Styela clava: one gene and its partners. The protein of the gene in region 2 purifies or fractionates together with the protein of the main gene of each other region. This does not show direct contact. Links are inferred from orthologs where the notes say so. Each region holds a gene or a part of one and is shown on either strand. Other genes may lie near its edges.

Region 1 (7,844 bases), on a different chromosome or scaffold from region 2:
AACACCAGGATAGGATAGGATTTTACATATTTATCCCGGAGGAGAGGAAAGCCGATACAAAGGCTTATCCATATGGCGAACCACGGCCTCTCGTCCGTTTACCATTCCAAGTCGGGTATGGGATTAGTTATGTTGTTTGTTTTCGGAAGCATGGACTTGGTGGTGGAGGAAGCCGTTATCGACCAGCAGTTACGTGAACCACCCATTCAGATATTGGAAATACATGTTGTACATATGGCAGTATGGTGATAAAATAAACAATGATTACAAAACAATGGGAACTTCAACTTGCAAATAAAAGTTTTGCCGGATTGATTTTATATCGTGTAGCGCAGGGGTCGGGAACCTATGGCTCTTTTAGTGACGGCATATGGCTCCCAGAAAAATCTAATATTCTGAGGCTATGCTTACTATTGTTACGAGATTTCAAACTCTTTTATAGCCACATTTGGCAAAAAAATTGCCAATACGTTTGTAAAGGCACGCCCAACGCATGTAAGAGAATTACCAGATACGGTAGGCATTGTGACAAAACTAGGGGATTCTGGAACATATTTTGTGACATCACAAAGCGATAGAGTCGCGGAGCAATCGAGAAAAGCTTTTTGTACATACTGGTTATACAGTATTTGTCATATACAGATCGGACTAGTAAAGCTAGTGTTTGAAATACTACGGGAATGCCTAAATGAAAGAAAGGAAATGAGTATCGTTGATTTCAACTTGTGCTGCATGTGAACAGTCATTCAAGGCCCGCAGCGACAACATGCAGCATCAGAAGTCACTTTTAATGTATATTGACATCATATTATGTGTTGACTTTTGAGTAAAAATTTCAGGTCTGATAAGTTAAGAAATGCATCTATGGCTCGCACCAAATGCAATTGAAAAAATGTACTTTTTATGGCTCTCTCAACCAAAAGGGTTCCCGACCCCTGGTGTAGCCTATGTTTATTTTATTGTGTTCTTTAACTGCTTCTGGTGGACGGCAGGCTCTTCCTGTTTTCAGTACTTGTATGTATTTTAACTTTGTCCGTGAGTTATGCCCGTTCTTCAGGTTCTCTGCATTTTGTTCATTCTTTCATTCTTGTTTTGTTTTATGTCAGGGTGACCAAACTACAAAAAAATAAAATTGATTGATTGATACTCAGTCTTCAAGGGGTTAATCTCATATCTGTCATATTCTGGTACCGGTATTTACCAACTGCTGGTACCTCAGTACAGCGGTACCTGAAAAGTCAGACTGAAGACCCCATATTTCAGTTCAGCGTGTAGCAATCCTTTTTAATTTGTTTGCTTATCAACCGATAATTGTTTAATTTTAGAATTTCAAGTTGGCACTTGGCAAAGTAGATTAAAAACACAATATGAATATATTTTTATCAGATTTAACTAATTATTTAAAATGGCGTCGTCATCTGCCAGTTGGGTTAAATTCTTCAAAGATGCTGGAATTCCAGCTGATCAAAGTGCGAAGTACGCTGTGATGTTTTCAGATCACAGGTAAGATGACCGATCGCCATGTGACCAAAATTGTTGTTTTTTGCTAAAAATATCTTAAGCTCTATGGTAAAACTTTTTTTCCGAGGAATTCAATGATGATGTTTTTAGATTGCGCCTTCTTAGTTTATTGCACAACTTCATTTTAATGTATTTTAACTGAGGGACAACTGTCTGTCCGCTGTCCACTCCATACGCCCTGGAAGAAGTGGTGTCTGTTTATCAGTGAAGTGGAATCCTCTGAAACGAGACAATGTCTCTAGATCTGTAAAGTAATTCTCACACACCCCTATTCTCATTGAATAAATAACCATCACCTATAACTCTTCTATTTTCACAGAATACAGAAAGGAATGCTCGGTGATTTGGATCGCGATATTTTATCCGACATCGGAATAAAAGCTGTCGGGGATAAAATGGCGATTATGAAGCACGCCAAGTTCGTGGATGACCAAACAAAGCGTGACGCTTCTTCGAAGATTCTTGCAGACGGAATTAAGACTCTTGAAAATCGTACGAGTAAGGGATCGTCACCGGCACAAAGAATGATTAACCATAGCATTAATAGCCGTTCACCTTCTGGTAGAAATTCTCCTAAAATTGTTGTCGAAAATGCAGAAAAACCGAAAAATTTTGCTGAAGATTTTGACCCAAGAAAGACGGTGTTTGATAGACTAGGGGTCGATTCACCGAACAAATCGCCTTCCAAAAGTAGCGGGATATTTAAGCGGCTTGGAGGGGAATTACCCAGCGAGGAACTCCCTTACGCTGGCATATTGAAAAAGCCGTCATCGCCTGTGACAACAAAAAAGAAAATTCTCATCGTTAAAAAGGCAAAGTCAACGAGTGTTCTCGATCGGCTTGGAGTGCAAAAGTCCCCTCCCCAAGTTGTTAAAAAACCCGTTACTGTCACCATGGCAAAGAAAGTTGTTTCAATTAAAAAGAAACCTGTTGCCGTAGCAACAACGACATCACCAACCAAAGTTTTAATCAAGAGAAATGTAGAAACGACAAAAACTGGGATTAAAAGGTCATCTAATGTACTTGATCGTCTCGGAGATATCGTTACAAGCACAACGAAGCAAACCGAAGAAGCGACTGAGGAATCTCCAGCTGTTAAAAGAAAATTAATAGTTGTCGGACAAAAGAAAAAACCTGCAACTTTGAAACGCAAATCGACCGGTGACATTCGGGAGAAAATTTCTGCTAAGAAGCCTATTTCAAGTAACACTGTGTCCAGTACTTCTTCTGCTGGGATTTTTAAAGGTGCAGCTCAGGCCAGTTCTAGTGTCTTTGCTCGCCTCGGTGCCAAATGATAGCAGCCACTAGCAAGGATGTCCAAAATAAATAGAATTTTGGAGCTCCAGAAATATGTGCACCAAGATGGCGCACAACCTGAACATAGTATATGTACCAGGTTAGGGTTCAGGTTGTGCGCCATCTTGGTGAACATACTTCAGGAGCGATGAATTTTCGAATCAATTTGGAATTTATTGTGTTCAATATTTTGAATTAATTTTTGAAATATTCAAAATATTTTCATTTTAAATTATTTTTTGAAGATTTGAAGTCACACAGTATCATGAAGTAAACCTTAATATTTCTGAAATTAGAAAACTAGCAAATTACTGTTTTCTGTGGTGTGTTGACCTAGTGGTCGGCAACACAGATTACTTAGCTTGGGTCCAAATTACTTCCCCCCCACCTTACCCAGGGTGTAATAAATTAGGTAGCCAATGCCAAACTGGAAGGAACAAGTCTTTCGAATAGGAGTAACTCCTCTCATATCGTTAAATGTCAATGGCTGCTTGTATAGAGCCTTACAAATGTTCTTACTGGATGGGCTGTGTGGTTTGGCAATGTTTTCTGGTACTGGAGCTTGAATCAAATTTTCAACTTTCCTGTGGTCTTGGATCAAAATTTTTTTGGATTCTGAACATGTTCTGTTGTTGGGACTGGTTTAAAAATTCAAAAGCATGCATTAGTGCCTTCAGAAAATAGGTCGAATGAAATATTCCTGGTTTGGTAAACGGGGTGATGGGAGCTGATTCAGCTGAATAATTTGTAATTTTTGAACTCATTGAAATTTACTGTTTTTTTTGTATTGATCTGATGTTTTTGCAGTAAAATTGTATCATATGTTACAGATTTTATACCAAAAATTCATTTTAAATATTCAAATTGGATTGCAAGATATGATTCAAGGACTATTATTAATATACGATCACTTCTATCCAGCTGGTTAATTTCAACTGGGTATTCCCCCTCCTTTTTTATCCTTCAACCATCTGTTTTATGATATTTTGTATGTTTTTCAATGATAAGGACAATACTATTCCGACCCCTTCAATATGGAAATTCAGTGATGCATATCTGGCCAGAATCTAGAATATCAAAATAGTACTAAGTGCCTTAGGAATTTACTTTAAACGTGCTGTGCACTGCTGTCTGAAACTACTATTTTCATAACTTGAGATAATCAGACTTTTTTAGGAAAAAATCTTTTAAATATTCAGGTAAATCATGATTTATGTCAAATGTTATGAGTCCTATTTTTACTCTTGATAAATTCAATACAAAATTATCAAATAGGATTTCAGAAACCCAAGCTATTTTCAGTCACCTGGTACTGTTCACAGGGTATTTGCACTCCCATAGTATGTGTACCAGGTTAGGGTTAGGCCATGATTTTATTCCGATTTTCCTTATTTTAGTTTTATTACGAGTTCAGGGACTGTCTGTGTTACCCAAGTGAATATATCCCCTGCCCATAGGCTTCAATCCCTTTACGCAACTTGATGTAAAGTGGTCGAACAAAATTAGTTACCTTGATATTGGTACACATACTTCTGGAGCTCCAAATGCTCTCCTTTCATCATACTGTTTTTTTTATTTTTATCCTGAGTATATATTGTACATTGACATGTTCATCCTGACCCTTTCACGAACAAATTAGTGTTGCATGATTGGTCAGATTATTCTCACCTTAATAGAAGGTGCCCATGTTGCATGATTGGTCAGATTATTCTCACCTTAATAGAAGGTGCCCAGTGCTGTAAGGACATGCTTGGGTTAACAATAGTTCAAATTGTAATTCTGGATAAATATAATTTCACATACTGGTTTAGTTTAGATTCAAATGCATCGCAAAGTTTGAAGCGTTTTTTGGTGATTGATAATGTCTCAAATAGCATTTGCATATTATTTTGTATTTAATGCAGAGCTAGAGTGTGTGAAAGTCGAAGACATATTTTTGATTTTACACATAGATTGGTACAAATTTCACACAACTGTTCATGTGCTTTTAATAAACCCTTTTTTATTAAATTTTAGATGTTACTAATTATTTAACATAACTTAGCTAAGATAAAATTCAGAAGTAGGAACAAATACCGGTGAGTTTGTATTTTACTTTATTATTTTAAAGAGCCTACAAAACTGTCGACTCATTGTTACTTATCGATTTTAATCGGTAAGTATGTTGATAGGTATTTGTCTGTATGTCTGTCTGTCTGTTAGATGCACGCGATATCTCACGAAAACGAGATTGAATCTGCTCCAAATTTTGCATGTGCATTCATCATATGTCGGACCAGAAGCCTATTGATTTTGGATGAATTATGTCGTATAATTAGCGAGGTAATAATTAGTGATGGGCATTAGTTGATGGGACACAAGGTGTCACTATGGAGTAAGAGCGCTGTTTTGGGGGATCCCCTAACTTTTGATCGATAAGTCCTCCGTCTCTGACCGATATTCTCGTTTGGTTGTCAGTACTATTCAGCTTCCTTATTTTGCCAATATAGAAACGATAAGAAAACTTTAAAATCTAAGGCTTGGCAGCTGGAGTTACTGGAGATATTAATTGAAAAGGGTATTACACCTAGATAACAGTTAGCAGTCAAATTATTTGTAACCATTTACCATTCAATAGCCATTACCGATTATTTATTCAACATCGGTTAGCCATTACCGTTAACCATGAACCATCCATTCATTTATTGATCAATCGTTTATTTTTTTTATATTGGTTGGTAACCGTTTGTTTAATATTGATTATCCATTTGTATTACCATTTAACTGTTTATTTGTTTATTACCGGTTATTAACCATATATTCAAAATTGATTAATTGCTTATTTATTTAATATTGTTAACCGATTGAATTACCGTTCATCTGTTTATTCATTTTATCACCAGCTAAAAATATATTCAATTACTGGTTAATCCTTCATTTATATTTTAATTCTCTAATTTCTCTTCCATTCTATTCCCAGTTACCATGCCGATCGTTAAACGAACAGTCTCGCCCACAGCTCTGTGTCGGCAGAAAATACCAAGGGGATTGAAGAATGAACTGGAATGTGTGACTAATAATACTTTGGCCGGTGAGTTGGGGGTAGTACATGGTAGTGAAAAAAGTTTTTGTGTTTTTATGGCAGCGGTTCCCAAACTTTTAGTCGTGCAGCGCCAAATAATCACAGAAAAAAACTCACGGCGCACTTCCATAACAAAAATGCTACTCATCAAATAAAACTCAATTTTGTTACAGCTAATTTGTACTTTATGCATTATAAAGTCACCCATGTTTGCTAAACTCGTTTCAGCAGATATATAAACTATGCACCTAGTAACTTTTGGGAACCAATATTTTATAGGATTTGGTTTAATATTCAATCAGCAATACATCTAAAATGATAAGGAAATTTATAAGAGAGAATTTTATCTTGTATTTATATGTAGTATTACTTTTGTCTTTTATAGACTGATATTTATCCCAGCATAACTGTATTTTTTAAATGAAAAGCGTACAATAGGAGGGAATTTTTTTATTTTGAAAAAGGAAATTTCATGTCTTTTTATATGTATTATATCTTTACTGATTTAGTATTATTACAATACATGGACACATTCAATCTGTGCAAAAGCTACAGTGCTGGTCGCCTGTGTCATTAGCTAGGGGTTTATTAAAAATGAAGTGCTTTTATGCTTAGTTTTCATCATAGCAAAGGCTATTAATTTAAACCACCTTTCCATCCCTGGTTCTTATTAATTTTACTACGTCTTGCGAAGGGCTTGTTGAAGGCCCTTTTGTAGATCATTTGTGCTGTAAATTCTCACAGTAGCCTACATATAGTAGAAAAACTTTAAACTTTTAAGCTTTGAATGGTTTGTTATTGGGATGAGAAAGTTCTCAACAAGAAACCGCCTTTGATGTGATAAATTATGTATTTGGAATGTGAAAATTGTCACATAGTCACATAAATAGGATCCTGTTATCAGATCCTTTTGTTTATTATTAAATCCTCTAGATTCGATATTCTGATTTGCACTTATAAATGTAGGGTAACTCATAAGAAAAAACAGAACCCAGGTTATTTGTAATTCTAGAGAGAAAATAACTCTCGTGCAAAGCGTCCTAGATTAATTAAATCTCTTGGTGCAATCCTGCACAAAAAAGAAGTGTTAAATAAACATTCTCCATTTTCATAATAATTACAAGAAGTTTGTTAGTTCTGCCCTGCATAACAAGTTCTAATTTTCTTGGGATGCAATCTGGTGATATTCAGTTCAATTTGATGTTTCGGACACAGGATATTGGTTTTGGATTTGTTTGAATATTAAATTATTTGATTTTGGTGATCTTTGAATTTTCAGAGGCTCGGCAGTTGGTTCATCGTGCTAAGCCTAGGAATACACTTGCAATCCAAGCGTACCTTTGATTACCAGGTTCGCACTTTCAGTCCTTCGGGGAATAATTATATGCAAGATTATAACTACTATAACCGACTTGACGTGTTGTCGTGTTTCACTACATGATTAAGCTGGATATGAAAATCCCGGGAGAAACGATTCATCAATATAAACAACAACAACAGATTTACATGAGATATTGCGCAATAACCCATGCATTATTAAATCACAATCTGGAAACAGACGAAACCCCCTCGTTGGTCAAAAATCTGAATAATTTATATTTTCGCCTGAAACGATACCTGAGGTAGTGATAAATATTTTAAAATCTTCTGAGATAGATTTATGTTTGAACAAGCATGGCCCAAATGTTAAATGAGCGTCTATGTCTGTCCCACACGTTAGTTATCATTTTAAAGTGATCAATATGACCCTTGACCCAGGAAGTGTGGAAGTGAATATTTATGTTTAATTATTTAGTTCCTGCCAGTTGGTTGACGCAGTTAGTATTCATGAAGGTTTCTGGTACGAGGGCTTTGTTAGAACGGCTGATTTACGGTTTGTGAAAAATAGGTGGATTTCTGCTACTGGGATTGCTTCACAGAGATGAATATTATTGTTTTGTTAGCGTTTTGTGATACATCATGTTAA
Region 2 (8,108 bases):
CCTATTTTCTCTGCTTTTCCGGTATCATGGGCCAATGAACGCAGACTTCTGCACGACGTAACAGTCAAGTTAGTCAGCTGTAGGTGGATCCCCAGTGGTCGGATGAATATCAGATGTACTCAACTGATCGCTTTTGCGTTGGGTAGCCTTTCCATAGTTTTTTTCAGTTACCGGTTATATTAGTCCAGTTATTCTAAGGAGGTGTTGAAAAGTATAGGTAAGATATTAAACACTTGTATATCCTTGCCATAAATAGCAATTTTAGTTGAGCACTAGCTCATAAGACGTTGTTAAATAGGTACGGTGCGGTAACTCCAAGGAAGGCTAGACCTACAGACCTAGAATAATACTGTAATATGTCACAAACAACGATATTTTCTGGCTTGCATGAAATGTTTATGATTAATTTAATGACTCTTCTTGACTATTCAGCAGACTTATACTACTATATAGGCCACAGCATATTTGGAAATAGAAATGAATGGCTGTTTCTGTAATGCATGGTTGTGTGAAAGAGAAGAAATTAATCAATTTTACTAATGTCGGTTGGTCTAAATCTAAATTCATAGAGTCGACAAGAACCTGGGAAGCAATGATAAGTTATGCCGGAGTGGAAAGAAAGGTAGCATTGGAAATGATTGAGAGGTGAGAAATGAAGTTGTAGACAAACAGTTGATGTTTCAAAATATAGTCTATAGTCCATACTCATACTGTCATAGGACATTTCAGACTGTGATATATCAAAATTTAGTGTAGATATAGTCTAGTAATGGTATGCAAACACTGCTGGACTGTAGAACATGCAATGAGCATATATACGCTCATTTAGTACATCAGATAAAATGCATTATGTATTCAAGGTATTAGTTAGTATTTAGGGGTATTTTTAAAATCATGCTGCTCCAAATATTATTTTCTTCCTTATTTTAGATACTGTACTACAAAAGAAAACGGCAATGTTCCACCAATCCGACCTAACGCAGGCTCTGATCCCTGCTGCTATCAGTGCTATAAAATGGATTAAACAAGAAGTCTTGAAGCTTAAAGGTATATGAGAATCATAATAGTTGCAAACAGCTTAGATGGGCTATTCATATTGAAATACTTTAGCACTTTTCTGCAATTGGAACTGCCCATCAAATTCATGTTGGAGACTTCATTGAGATTTTCAATTCATTTTTTTCCCTCGACTATGAAGATCTTTTGAGGTTAACGAGGTATTAATAAATAAAGCTGAGGAATTTGAAGAAGATATGAAGAATGTAAATGATACGGTACCAGGGCACGTCTATTTAACACTGTCAAACATAAGGATTATACTCTCCACCCAACAATGATTCACTGAAGAAGCATGTGGCCCTCAAATCAGTTCTTGAGTTGGCAAACTGCAAAGAAAAATAGTCAAAATAATTTATGAAAGTGTGCCAAAATCAACTTAAATTGCACAGATTTTTGTTTTTGTATTGACTGCAGAAATCACAGTACACCTATAGAGGAAAAGTCGATTTTTGAGATAGTGGATTTCGAAAACAATTCAGAAGAAAGTGAATTAGATATTACAGTTGATTTAATAAGTATCATACATTTGTTTTTTTTCGGACATTTGTTAGTGTCGTAGTCCTGTTTCTAGAAATATTATTGCCTTTGTTCAAATACATAACCACATAAACTAAAAAAAGATTAATTGTAAGTTGTAATATTTCTGTTCACTGTGTTATGTACATATTGTACATTCATTTAATTTTCTTGACTTTTGCGGTAAATTTCTAAGTGAGAAATAACTGATTTATTTGTGTTTTCGTGCTCACGATGTTAATTTGTGACTTCATTGCTTAAAAATAAATACGTTTGATACTTGATAGCTTCCATAAAATGGATGTAGCTTTTTATGCTGTTCTTGTTGTAAACTGCTTGTGGTTATTACATAAAATTTATTCTCAAATGTGAATCGGCGTTGTTGGTGTCGCTGCTTTCGAGGTCACTCCCGACTCCTGTCACACAATTAAAGTATTTTTTGTTGTTGGTTACATGTATGCCATATTTTTCGTAATCTACCTAATAAATTATGATTGACTGAGGAAGTCCGATTTTGGTCAGGCAAAACATTACAGGAATACATTTGTGTTAGTGTGCTGTAGGGCTCTCGAATTGTATAGTTCTTATGTATGCGTTGTAAACTTATGGTTATTGAATTTCCGGGAACCTCTTATATTCAATTTCGCACCAGGATTGTGGAACAAGCTGTAATGCGTTCATTATGTTCGTTTTCACACAAAACTGAAGAATTTATTTAGTTACCAGATGTGCGCTACGAAACTCATTTTCTGGGCGTTTTCATGGTTTCGTCTCACGGCCCATATCCGTGGTAAGGATCTACAAGTGTTTAATAATTTACTTATACATTTTTCAACAACGTCTTAGCATAACTTAACTAATAATAACTAAACAGGGCTATGGAAAGCCTGTCCAACTCAGCGCAAGGTCGAGCAGAAATAACTAATATTCATCCGCTCGCTAACAGCTGGTTTAATTCAATTGTTACGTCATGCAGAAGTCATTGTTCAGTGCCGAAAATGTAGAGAATATAGGACAGATCGTAGCACATATTTCTTGTAGTAAAAGCGTCTTTTCCGTAAAACGTGCAACTTTTGGAAGTGGGAACAAGGCAATATTTGTTACTAAATTTTTAAGGAACATTTTAAAATCATTTTCAGGTAGTTACCTGATGTGCGCTACGAAACTCACTTTCTAGGCGTTTTTCAGGGCCTCGGCTCGCGGCCTAATAGGGTAGGATCAACATATCTCTTCCTATGGGGAAATCCGATAAGGCGGTTCAACAACGTGGCGAACCACGGCCTATCCTCCGGTCACCAGTCCATATCGGTATCGGGTTGGTTAGCCAGTACACTGAAAATTTTATTTCGAATTTAACTATTAGAGCAATGAAATAGTTGGTGAAATTAAATTAAAACTGATTATAAAATTAAAAAATAAAACAAGTAATTTAGCAGCTCATAAAAAAAAAATTATTTAGTCAAATAATTCAAAAGAAAAGCATATGTTCACATCATTTTGATCAAATTCACTTTGATTTTGATCCTAGGCTTTGATTTTGATGATGACTTGCTAGTGACATCATGCGGTGGTGACCTCATATATTACGAAACGATTGCAAAGGGTAAACCCGCGATGCCGTTTCTAGATTTGGTGGCGCCACGCCCCTTGTTTATTTGCTGCGCCATACATAGGTATTTTAACCCATTTATCACTGTTTCCGCTGTTAGGGTGCAGGTATTTAATTCCTACTTTTAGGCGTATGTATTTTATGAGTCCAGGAAAACCATTAAACGTGAAATCTATAACTTCAAAACCGAATTATGAGCGGCTGTTGCCAGGTGATATCGTTATGCAATATACAGATTACTGGATCTAGCAATTCGTCAGTCTATCAGTTCACTTGGGTGAAAACAGAAATGGTGTAAATTGCAAATAGTATGGGTAATTGACTCATATTCAGCTAGGAAGTGATCTTAACACTGACATAACGAAATTGAGGGCAGACTCAACTTCATTTCAAGGTCCCTTTCTTTTTTCAAATTGATGTTTTTCGACTGTTGAGCTTCATAATGCCCAACTGTTTAGCTCCAAGCTGTGCTAGAAGAAAATGGTTGCACCGGCATTGCACAGCGTCGAATCGGATTATTGCTATGAAATCTTCTAAAAACAGAAAAATGGTGTAACGTTGTCTTTGCAACCAAATTTATGTCATTCAGTCATTAGATAGTTTTACATTCTACTTTCGCTATACTACATACTGCTGTACTGACATATGGCCGTATGGTAGGCCATTCAAATTCCTTCCTTTGGTTTTATTCTGTTATTCTAATAGTCCCTATAACAGCTGACTTATTTGATCCGGTGCAACAACACAAAAAAATTCCTGTTATCCAAAGTTGCCACAACATGGTGTCCATTGGCTTTTTCAACATTAAGCAAGTTCGTTGCCGCCCATTTGTGAGACCTAACTCTTTTCATTAGTTGTAAGACTAATTTAATACACAACTCAATAGTTTATCAATCTGATTCCCAGATTACGAGGCGCAGTTCTTACCACTTCATGGCAGCTCCTGCCACGAACGAACCGCGGCAGCTCTCGCCATGGTTTTATAGCGCTATCCAGTAATCAGTATTAACGGTATATTCACAAAACAATGCACCAGATTTTAATTTATCATGAGGAATTATATCTACTTATACCCTAACCCCAAATCCATCAAAACTGTATCCATAGGAAAAATGTTCCAACACACCCAATATTTATCACCATAAGGGACAGCCCTGTCGTTACGGCCCACCTTCCGTGGTTATGGGAGCAAAATTTTACCTGCCATTGGTTATCAATTTGCTGCCGCGGTAATAGCAGCTCATTGGTTTGTGGCAGTTAAAAAGTCAGTCGCCATTAAAACTGCACTTGCAGATTACTGGAGTAGTATCCACTAAAAGCGTTTGTTAAAATTAGCAAATCGAGGGCTTCAACCCAAAAAGGCGAAGCTTGAAAAGCTTCTTCGCAAAAAATGAGTGAAAATATATTTTTGATTTTTAAACTTCTGTAACTTTTTATTGAAAATTTTGCTGACTATTGATTCATTCAACTATGCACTTTGGTATATCTTTGTAATATTTTCAAATAAAACTTCAACTTTCCATTTTGTCTTAAAACCCCATATTTAATACTGATATAGCATTTAGCAAGGAAAATTCATATTTGCCCAATTTAGTAATATGTGTTTGATAAATTTTCTGCAATTATTCTTTTTTGTATAAATGTGTGGAAAGAATGAATTTGGTGAATGCGTCAGTAATTTATAATATGAATGAATGATTCAACGCAATTCAAATACCGTATATTCGATACATTTGAATAGAATTCATCTAGATTTTTATAAATGAACAGGCGCATTTACATTTATCTGCCTAAAAAAAGCCTGGCTTATGATAACTGTAGAAAATACAGTAATATGAAAATCTTCAATTTACAGGCTGCTTGTGGTTATTAATAATATTTAATGCAGATGGGTTGAAAATTTTCGAAGTATTTCGAGGCCTATTTTATAACAAAATGACAGCTAATGTGTCTCTTGAAGATGCTTTGTCCAATGTGGACTTACTCGAAGATCTTCAGCTTCCTGATCAGCAACCATGCATCGAGCCGATGCCGTCAACATTACTTTATCAAGCCAACTTTGACACTAATTTTGAAGACAGAAATGCATTTGTGACTGGTGTTGCAAAATATATTGAAGAGGCTACTGTGCATTCAGATATGAATGCCATGTTGGAAGAGGGAGAGACATATGCAGTAATGCTTTATACATGGCGTAGTTGCTCGCGCGCTATTCCTCAGGTAAGGTCCAATGAACAAGCAAACCGAGTAGAAATTTATGAAAAGACTGTTCAGGTTTTGGAGCCTGAAGTAAGAAAGTTGATGAATTTCATGCTCTTTCAAAAAAGAGCTGTAGAAAAATTTTGTGCAGAAGTAAAGCGTTTATGCCATCAAGAAAGAAGAAAAGATTTTGTTTCCGAGGCATATCTTCTTACACTTGGTAAATTTATCAATATGTTTGCTGTTCTTGATGCCCTCAAAAATATGAAAAGCAGTGTAAAAAATGATTACTCTTCTTATAGAAGAGCAGCACAATTTCTGAAAAAAATGTCAGACCCACAGTCAATCCAAGAGTCACAGAACTTATCCATGTTCTTGGCCAACCATGATAAAATAACCGGGACGCTTAAACTATCTTTGTCTGGCATCCCTAACTCTGAGGAACTGTTGTGTGATATTATTAACATAAGTATGAATTATTATGAAAACAAACGCTATGTTCTCCCAAGTGAAAAACACATGCTGCTTAAAGTTATGGGATTTGGATTGTGCCTCCTCGATAACAGGGATATTCATAAAGATGTCAACATATATAAATTACAGGACAAAAAGAAACTTCACCTCACCAAAATAGATAAATTTTTTAAACAGCTTCAAGTTGTGCCGCTTTATGGTGACATGCAAATACCTTTAGCGAGCTACATACAAAATATGTCCGATTTTGAAGATAATAAATCAAAGTGGTCTTGTGCTTCATCAACAGTAAGCACTGGAAGTTCGAGTGCGCAATACAACTTGGCAGAACAGCTTGTTGCTATTCGTGAGGATCATATAAAATATACAAGCGAACTTGCTAAATACAGCAACAATGAAGTCGTTACTACGACGCAGAGAGATCAGCCTCGAACGGATGAAGAAAATTATGTTTTGTATAAATTAGCGCTCAGAGGTTTACAATTGCTCTCAAAATGGAGCTCTCATGTCATGGAAGTCTATTCTTGGAAACTTGTACATCCGACTGATAAATACACCAATCCTGAGTGTAAAGATGAGGCAGAGGAGTACGAGAGAGCAACTCGTTATAATTATTCAAGCCAAGAGAAATATGCTCTTGTTGAAGTCATTGCTATGATAAAAGGTCTTCAAGTATTGATGGTTCGAATGGAAAGTGTTTTCGCAGATGCCATACGCAGTTATATTTATTCGCAAATGCAAGATTTTGTTCAGCTTCGATTAAGAGAATGTTTACGGCAAGCTATAAAAAAGAAAAAGAATCATGTTCGGAGCATTGTAAGCTCTGTTAGAGAAACATGCGCTGATTGGATAAGAGGATTTGAGCCTCCAAATGATCCTGCCCTGAAAGGAGAAAAAGATCCAAAGACCGGTTTTCATATTGATGTACCTCGTAGAAATGTTGGACCTTCAAGTACTCAATTATACATGGTTCGTACAATGCTGGAATCCTTAGTCGCTGAAAAAAGTGGAACAAAAAAAGCATTGCGAACCGTTCTTGATTCTCATACTATTGAAGCAATTGAACAGTTTCACAAAGAATCATTTTTCTTCTCATCTCTGCTTAGGCTGAGTGAAACTCTTCTTGAGTGTTGTGATTTATCTCAGCTTTGGTACAGAGAATTTTTCTTGGAGCTCACTATGGGAAAAAGAATTCAATTTCCCATTGAAATGTCTTTACCTTGGATCTTGACTGATCATATATTGGAAACAAAAGAACCTTCAATGATGGAATATGTCCTCTATTCTTTAGATTTATACAATGACAGTGCTTATTATGCCTTGACAAAATTCAAGAAGCAATTTCTGTATGATGAGGTAGAAGCCGAAGTCAATTTATGTTTCGATCAATTTGTCTACAAACTTTCTGATCAAATTTTCACTTATTTTAAGCAATTGGCTGCTTCACAATTATTGAATATTGGTTTCCGGGATCACTGCTCTGCTAAAATACCATACCCACCTGCTAACAGATATGAGACTCTTCTCAAGCAACGTCATGTCCAACTTCTTGGACGATCCATTGACCTGAATCGATTAATAACTCAGCGTGTTCAGGTGGCTTTGCATAAATCCATTGATCTCGCAATAAGTAAGTTTGAAAGTGGAGATATTACAGGTATTATGGAATTACGAATGCTGCTGGATGTCAACAGGCATACCCATAAGCTTCTGAGCAAGCATTTGACCCTTGATGGCTTTGATGCAATGGTGAGAGAAGCGAATCATAATGTTTCGGCTCCGTATGGACGCATCACTCTCCATGTCTTCTGGGAACTCAACTATGATTTTCTACCAAATTATTGCTTCAATGGTTCTACTAACAGATTCGTTCGAACGCCAATTACATTTTCCCAAGATCTTCAAAGGGACAGACCACCAAATGCTGGGCATCACTATCTTTTTGGCAGCAAACAGTTGAATGCTGCTTATCGTGAAATGGCTGGTTTGTATACAGGATATGTTGGAGCAGAACATTTCACAACCATGTGCGTTTTGTTGGGATATCAAGGCATTGCAGTGGTTATTGAAGAGCTGCTGAAAATTGTAAAAGGCCTGCTTCAGGGAACAATATTACAGTATGTTACAACTTTGATGGGAGTTATGCCTCCAATATTGAAGTTGCCAAGATACGATTATGGATCTCCTGGAGTGCTGGAGTATTATCAGCATCAACTTAAAGATATCATAGAATATTCCGAATTGAAAACAT
Region 3 (7,483 bases), on a different chromosome or scaffold from region 2:
GTATGATAAGTGGTATTGCCATCGCGGCAAAAGCAATAAATCCTGCGGTAAAAATAATCGCCGCAGAACCTGACACCGCTAACGATTGTGAAATTTCGAAGCAGAAAGGTGAATTAACCCAAATGACGGACTATTCTTCAACCGTAGCTGACGGGGCAAGGGTTAATATTGATACATTGACGTGGCCAATCATCCGTGACCTTGTTGATGACGTCATAACCGTTTCTGATGACGAAATTAAATCTGCAACGAGGCAAGTTTGGGAAAGATTGAAATTAGTTATCGAGCCTACTTCAGGTGTGGCCGTGGCTGCTGTGTTGTCGAAAAAGTTTTCTCGCATTGAGGGGAAACATGTTGCTGTTGTGCTTTGTGGAGGAAATATTGATTTGAGTAGTTTTATGTTGTATTGTGTATAATAATAAATGAAATATATATATGATGAAACTTGTGTTTTTTGATTGGTGGATTCCAAATACCATTATTTTCAAACAATTCATGTTCAAGGGAGTTTTCTTGTCAAAGAAAAAGAAAAATCAGTTTTGCGTCTGGCATTATGACCTCCTACTGCTCTGGCCCCGATTGGGAATCGCTGGTTTAAACGATATACAGTGAAATGCAACTAATTTTCAACATTTTGTTGCCAGTAGTTACCAATCGTCCACCGGCCTTCTTGCCATCTGTATTGCAAATGACGCATTTCCGTTCTTAGCGTACGTGCACAATATTAAAAAAAATCGAAAATTTCCCTCGATATTCGTTGTAACTAAAAATGACTCACGAAGATTAAGTTTCCTTTAACATTAACCAAATGCAAAGCAAACTTTTCAGGTGTTCCCCATTTATGAATTTTTAAAGTATAAGCAACCTTATATTACAATATAACTCATAAATTCAAGTCATGCTTCTGCGTGTTTTTAACAGCAATGCTTATTGAATCTGTGCTGAGGTGAATGACAAATTTCCTTAAGGTTTTCATACTATTGCTGAGTGTTTGATATCGTGTCAGTGAAGGATTTATATAGATTTATGTTGTATGACAATTTCGTATTAAGCAGGTGGCGGGCGAGACTCGAGGTGTGAATAAGATAGGACTAATCATCGTGACTTATCATTTTTAAATTACAAAACTGTGCTATTTTGGGTTTCTGGGGAACCACCTTTTTATCTCAGCCTACAGCGCTTCAGAAGTATGTGTACCAATATGGAGGTAACTAATTTTGTTCACCTGCTCTACATCAAGTTGTGTAAAGGGACTGAAACCTATGGACAGGGGGTATGTTCAGTGGGCTAAAACAGACCCGAAATCGTATTTAGAACTAAAATAAGGAAAATCGGAATAAAATTAGGCCCTAACCTGGTACATACTACGGGAATTTATGCTTTCAATCCATATGCAAGAATGCAGTACCAGACCGTAGCCAGTCCAAAATTGGGGGGGGGGGGCAATTTTTTTTCAAAATGATGTAACACGACGCTTAATCGTGCCTTTTGCTCCGAACAAGGTAGATAAACGCGGCCACTTAATTCTAACAATAACTTGAAGAATCTTTTTACAGACTTACTTTGCTTACGCGCACATTCTCATCTATCTCGGTTGGTTCATTTGATGAAAGGATTATTGATGAAAAGTCCGGTTTTCAGCAAATCAATCAAGATTGGTGCAAATTGGTTTTGGAAAGTCGTAAGAATTTATGTCTCAACTATCGCTTAGCCTTACAGTAATGAAGGCACCGGGCAAGACAGCGAAAGATTTATCGCAGCGAGAAGAACAAAAATCATTATGTATTTTTACTCATGTGAGCGCCTTTTTAAACATAAACTGTCATTTTAGGATTTTAAGTTTAATGGGAAAAATCTGAGTGTTGACAAGGGCCGCACTAAACAGGTTGGCGGGCCGGGTTGTGGCCCGCGGGCCGCCTGTTCTTTAGTCATCGGAAAAAGCCGATAGAGCCCAGCTGATGATGACTAAGTCCAATTCTCTTATTCAGAAATTGTAAAAAATTGTCATGTTTTTAATTGAAAAGGTTAAATTACCCTGCAATTCATAGTAAAACTGCTATATTTTTTTTATAGTGCATTGTATCCCAGCATCGAGTCTAAGATTATTTCCTGGAGTGACCGGGTTCCAAATACTGTTAAAAATAAGCGCAAAAATAACTTGTATTGCACGGTATAGCCCGGGCATTAAACTGTCGCGATACATAAAAAAATACACTCAGTCAATTTAGAATAGCAGTATTTTTATTATTTTAAACGAAGTGTTGCATGTACTAATTCAACCCATAAATTTGCATTGATTTTACTGAACTTTATTAACAGTATCAGTGCGGATACGCGTAGGATTGCTGAAAGCGTTTTATGATGAATTAATAATTGAGATGCAATTGTAGACAAGGGAAGAATTGAGACATGTTTGAATTTACTTTAAATTCCTTTTCCAACTTGGAGATTATACGAGTCTTCTAAAAGCAAGGTTGCGAGTCCTCGACTGCAAGTAGAAAGATTATGGTGAGAAATAGTTATGTTACAGATATGCCAGTAAATATCAGTTGACAAGATGCTTATATACATGCTATACGATTTTTGGCGCTCCAGAAGTATTGGCGCACAACTACACATACTATGTTCAGGATTTGCGCCATCTTCGTGCACATACTTCTGGAGCTCCCGATTTTTAACATCCCTCAGCTAGGAGAAAAAACTAATCGGTGCCTTCAAAGACCATATTTAGTCCTTACGAAGACTATCAGATTATACTGTGTGCAACATTTTTATTGCTGTGCCATTTACCCAACTTCAGATATCTAGCTGGTCATACAAGCAATTAGTTTTTCCATAAACACGACGAATTAAAAGTTCTCACAATGCGAAATATTATTTATTCAACACTTTAATAGGCAATTGTTATTTCGAGTTATTGCATAGTTTGTTTGTATCAACTGATAATATAAACTGTGTGATAAAGATTTTAAGCTTGATGGGGATAAATCTGAATGTTGATGAGGGCCACACTAAATGGCTTGACGGGCCAGGTTGTGGCTCGCGGGTCACCTGTTGCCGACTCCTGGATTATCGTTTATGCTTGTCAGGAGCTTTTTAAGAGTGAAGATGTAATGAACGCGCTCTATAACACTTACAATAGAATAGGATTTCTGCTGATTGAGTATCGCATTTTCCCATATGGTTTGTGAATGATGTTTGCGGTTGCCCGTATACCCAGTGGGATTGTAGAATTAGACATGACATGCGCGAGGTATTCTGTTTGTCTTCAGATATGTAATGTAGTATCCATCGTTCAGTCGGATGTCCGAAACCAATTCCCTACTACCAGTGTATTCGTACCAGTGTGAGATTGTCTATATCACGTATTAGTTGATGCTTTTATGTAAATTTAAAGTGAGATTTGAGGTCAACGATTAATGAGGTGGAGTTGTCTAAAATGTGCAATGTATTCAGTATGACCTTCGGACATGTAATGTAGAGTTCTTCGCCATTTCGGGCGATTGTAAGTATACTTTGGCAAGCTCTATGTAGGGCTGGGCATTTTCGAATACCTTGTGATTTCAGAATTGAATCGAATAATATTTTCGAATCGAATCGAAAATACTTGAAAATATATTTGTAAGCGACTCTATTATAGTAATTGGTCCTCTCAACAAATGAATTACTGAAGACATAGAATAAATCCCTCAGATAGATTACTGAGCGTTCACGCAGAATAACTCACTACAGGAAATAGTCATATGTTAGAATTTCGTAGAAAAAATATGACTCCAATGAAAAAAAACTTAGGGAATTCACCTCGACCATTGGCGGAAAGATAAAAACAAGATGGCGGTGATTTGAAGTTTAGCTCGGAACCGATTCGAATAATTTACTATTCGATTCGAAATGCCCAGCCCTAGCTCTATGACGTGATTGTGACATCGTAGTAACGTGATTTTTGGATGGCGTAGTCAGGCGGGGTTAGAATGGACATGTGAAAAAATTCATATGCTATGACCACTAGAAGTACTTGAAGCACGAAACTACGCGAGACCCGCGAGAGTGCCCAAGGCTAACCCAGTATCTTTTGTATCAGGCTGATTTTCTGGAACTTTGTTCAGATTGAAAACGCTTCATAAACGTATGGTAGCTTTTTACATATTAGTGTATGCTTTTATAGAACCTTGGATCAAGTATCAGTGGCTACCTGCCTGTAGATTTGAAGTGAACTCTCAAAATGAGAGATGTGTCTTGTATTCTGTATAACTTCGGGTTATAGAACTAAAAGTCAATATATTTTTATATCAGTCGCGTTCAGAGTGAGGACACCTACAAAACAGAGTGGCTCTGTTCTTTTTTGATATTTGCTCAGAACAACGTCCTACACTGGCAGCCATAGTTGATGTAGTTGGTTTATTTTTGGAATGGTGTTTTTTTACAACAATTAAGTTTAATTAAGTTTTTGATAATGTCTGTAAATGGCAATATGCAGTGGCTGCTTGTTCAGGGTATTGTTCAGTGCGTACAAAATATATTTCTTATCAGATCAGTGAAGGCTTTTCTACAACCTTAGATCACGTATCAGTGGCAGTCAATAAGATAGGGAAAGTCACTGTTTTTTTTTTTGTTTTTTTTCGGTTTGACACCACTCACGCCATATATTATGTCTTGTGCGAGGTGATGGACATGGGGATCGACTGCTAGGATTTACATATTTATTCCGGGGGAGAGGAAAGTCGATAAGACGGCTTGACAATATGGTGAACCAGGGCCTCTCGTCCGGTTACCATTCCATGTCGAGTATGGGATTAGTTTGGTTATGTGAACCACCCTACGGCGGCGAGGAGTCCAGCAAACCTCTCGCACATAACCATCCCGCATGGGATTCGAACCTGCGAACCCACGCAGAGTAATCAGAGGTGCGGTGGTGAGCGTATTCATAGCGCATATTACGATGCGCCACACCGCCGCGCCTGATATTAGTTATTACTAATAGACGTCTGTTCATATCCTAAGATATATATATTGTATTTACAGTATTGCTTTCTAGTAGAAACTAAGTAACAGTATTGCTTGCTAGTCCACAAAATCATACCCGCCAATTCCAACCATCCATCAAACTATGTCGTTGTACGAAGAAAACATTTCGAATGAAACGAAAGAAAGTCGACATCAGAGAATACAGGTAATAAAAGTGGTGGAGGGAGTCATTTTAAACTGTTCCATTATTTGGCAGCTCCGTACTTTGAGTTGTTCTAGTATAAACAAGCTCTGACTAATATGGTCACCTCAATGTCCGCAAAATTTCGCAAAGCTTTGTCATGCGTTTTCGAGCGATAGAAAAGGATTTGCCTCAACCCAGTTTTTTTTAAGTCCAGGTCACCGAGAATATATGAATAAATAAATGATAGCCCTCCAAATTCTCCCATCTATAAGTACTGGAATCTGGTACCAATTGGTAGAGCATAAGGATTTTTTCAAAAAAACAAAAACCCAAACAACTGCAGCAAGAATTCAATGAACTATCCAAAAATACATTCCATGTCCAATAAAATTTTGTTCTTCTTTCCAGGAAGATTGGGATAATCGCGAATACGTTGAAGCAGTAACGAGTAGCATCAGAAAGATGACGACATTTCTAAATTTATTCGATGCTTCGTGCAGGAATCGTCTGACATTTTTGAATCAAAAATTGTCTTCGCTAGAGCGAAAAATTGATTATATCGAAGCAAGAATTGAGAAGAAGGCAACGTGATTTGTGCTTGTTTATTATAATGGACAAAAATGGTGTTTACAACTGCAGGGTAACCCTTTCCACATAAAAGAACAGCGCCCTTCTACAAAAGTGAAGACAATTTATGCACCACTTGAACTTATGTGTGTGAATGATTGTATCCAAAGGTTTTAGTAATCAAGGACGCTTTGAACTAAAGTTATGTTATCTCTAGTGTATGTCCCGAATCACCTCCTCGGTATTGTAGTCCGTTACGTCCCATATTACTGACACATTCGGGTACAGTCATACACAAACAGTTCAAGCGTATTTTATACTTGATGTTATGTTCTCTCCATGATGGTGGTTCTCAAACTTTTTAAGCTAACAGATAGTAAGGCGAAAGTATGTTTTATTTACAAAACACGTTGAAAATACGTATGGATGAAGCGTAGATATCCAAAATAGGGCGAGCAATATCAAATTCAACAAATATTTTTAATTAGCTTTACGCCCCCTTAAAAAATTGTATATGCTACCCTTGTGAGGCGCGCCCCATCGTTTGAGAACGACTTCACTAGAATATGTTCCAAATGACCTGGCTCCTGTTTTTCTTTGGGTCACCATGTACTAAATGGACTTTGTTTGTCATGTTTTTCTCTAATAGCGGACTTATTTTCAAACTCTTCGGAGTCATGTATTAGACTTTCAATCGTCGTAAAAAAAATCTGAAACTGGGTTCTGAAAATTCTATTTCCCAAGCTAGACCGGAGCAGGTAGCGGGAAATAGCTAGCCCGAACACATAGTTTTCAAGTATCCTGAGAGTCTAAAAAGCAAGTGAATGATACAGAAGAATGCTCACATTTAAAAAGGGAGGAAGGGCTCCCTGGATAGGTTCTGATATTCCAGGAATGTTTTTCTCGAATCAGCTCTTATCCGATTCTCGCGGCCACTGAGGATGATGGACTTATATTCGTAAAGATTTGTATTCTGATATTCTACGCTACACAACTTATTACAACATTCGAAGCATTTTTTTCGACGTTTTTTATTTCATATGGGCACCCACTGAGCTTCTTGTAAACCATCTAGCGCTCGACTAATCAAGCAAATAATAATTCAGTCTTTTTTATATTTTGTGAGGTTTTCCTATTTTTCATTATTTTTATTAATATTATTCAGAGAAATAAAGCAATTTGATAATCTAGTTTCTTTGTTGTTTTGAGAAAAGGATAAAACGTCAATAAGAGAAAAGTGTTTTATTTAACAGTATCCTTACACCTATAGTTGAGGTCTCGGGATACAAGCAAACCTAAAAATTATCGCACAATTACTTTAAATATAAAAATAAATAATTATTTGCACCGAATTAGGAAGCCTATGTTGGAAGGAAGATTGGGTCGCGCGTCATGGAATTTTCAAGCAGTATAACCTTATTTTTACACTTATGACGTCAGTTTAACGTAAAAAGTTACGTCAATTGCGCCACATAGTCGGAACGGCGCCTACTTTTTGCTGTTCAGGTCAGAATCATATTCCTAAACTAATTATAATCCTAAGACGAGCAGTTTAATAATTCCGGTAAAATAGCGAAATCTACATTTCCTCCGCATAGAACTACTGTTACATTCTTAGGTTTTGAGTTTGGGAAAAATTTCGACAAACTTTTGTTGAAATTTTCAGAAAGAACAGCGGCCACAGCCACCCCTGCTGTCGGTTCAATAACTAATTTGCATCTTTCCCAGACAAGCAGTGTGGCATGTTTTATTTCGTCTTCTGAAACG

What was found.
Region 1: the proteins of cytoplasmic FMR1-interacting protein 2-like (region 2) and actin-binding protein WASF3-like purify together in Drosophila melanogaster (affinity purification with mass spectrometry; 3 studies listed by BioGRID, with this or other methods). This does not show direct contact. The link is inferred for Styela clava from reciprocal best matches to the Drosophila melanogaster genes Cyfip and SCAR.
Region 3: the proteins of cytoplasmic FMR1-interacting protein 2-like (region 2) and putative protein BRICK1-B purify together in Drosophila melanogaster (affinity purification with western blotting; 4 studies listed by BioGRID). This does not show direct contact. The link is inferred for Styela clava from reciprocal best matches to the Drosophila melanogaster genes Cyfip and HSPC300.

The regions. Positions count from the first base shown.
Region 1 is NC_135259.1:22,312,747-22,320,590, reverse strand, and holds the start of actin-binding protein WASF3-like, read left to right. Parts: upstream 1-4,774; 5' UTR 4,775-4,895; intron 4,896-5,776; 5' UTR 5,777-5,781; coding exon 5,782-5,887; intron 5,888-7,844. Other genes in the region: uncharacterized protein LOC120337403, read left to right, coding at 1,406-1,503, 1,841-2,816.
Region 2 is NC_135257.1:9,569,038-9,577,145, forward strand, and holds the start of cytoplasmic FMR1-interacting protein 2-like, read left to right. Parts: upstream 1-5,043; 5' UTR 5,044-5,119; coding exon 5,120-8,108. UniProt on the Drosophila melanogaster protein: Plays a role in guidance and morphology of central and peripheral axons and in synaptic morphology. Also required for formation of cell membrane protrusions and for bristle development.
Region 3 is NC_135263.1:816,562-824,044, forward strand, and holds putative protein BRICK1-B, read left to right. Parts: upstream 1-5,026; 5' UTR 5,027-5,107; coding exon 5,108-5,170; intron 5,171-5,557; coding exon 5,558-5,740; 3' UTR 5,741-6,906; downstream 6,907-7,483. Other genes in the region: serine racemase-like, read left to right, coding at 1-416; serine racemase-like, read right to left, coding at 7,255-7,483.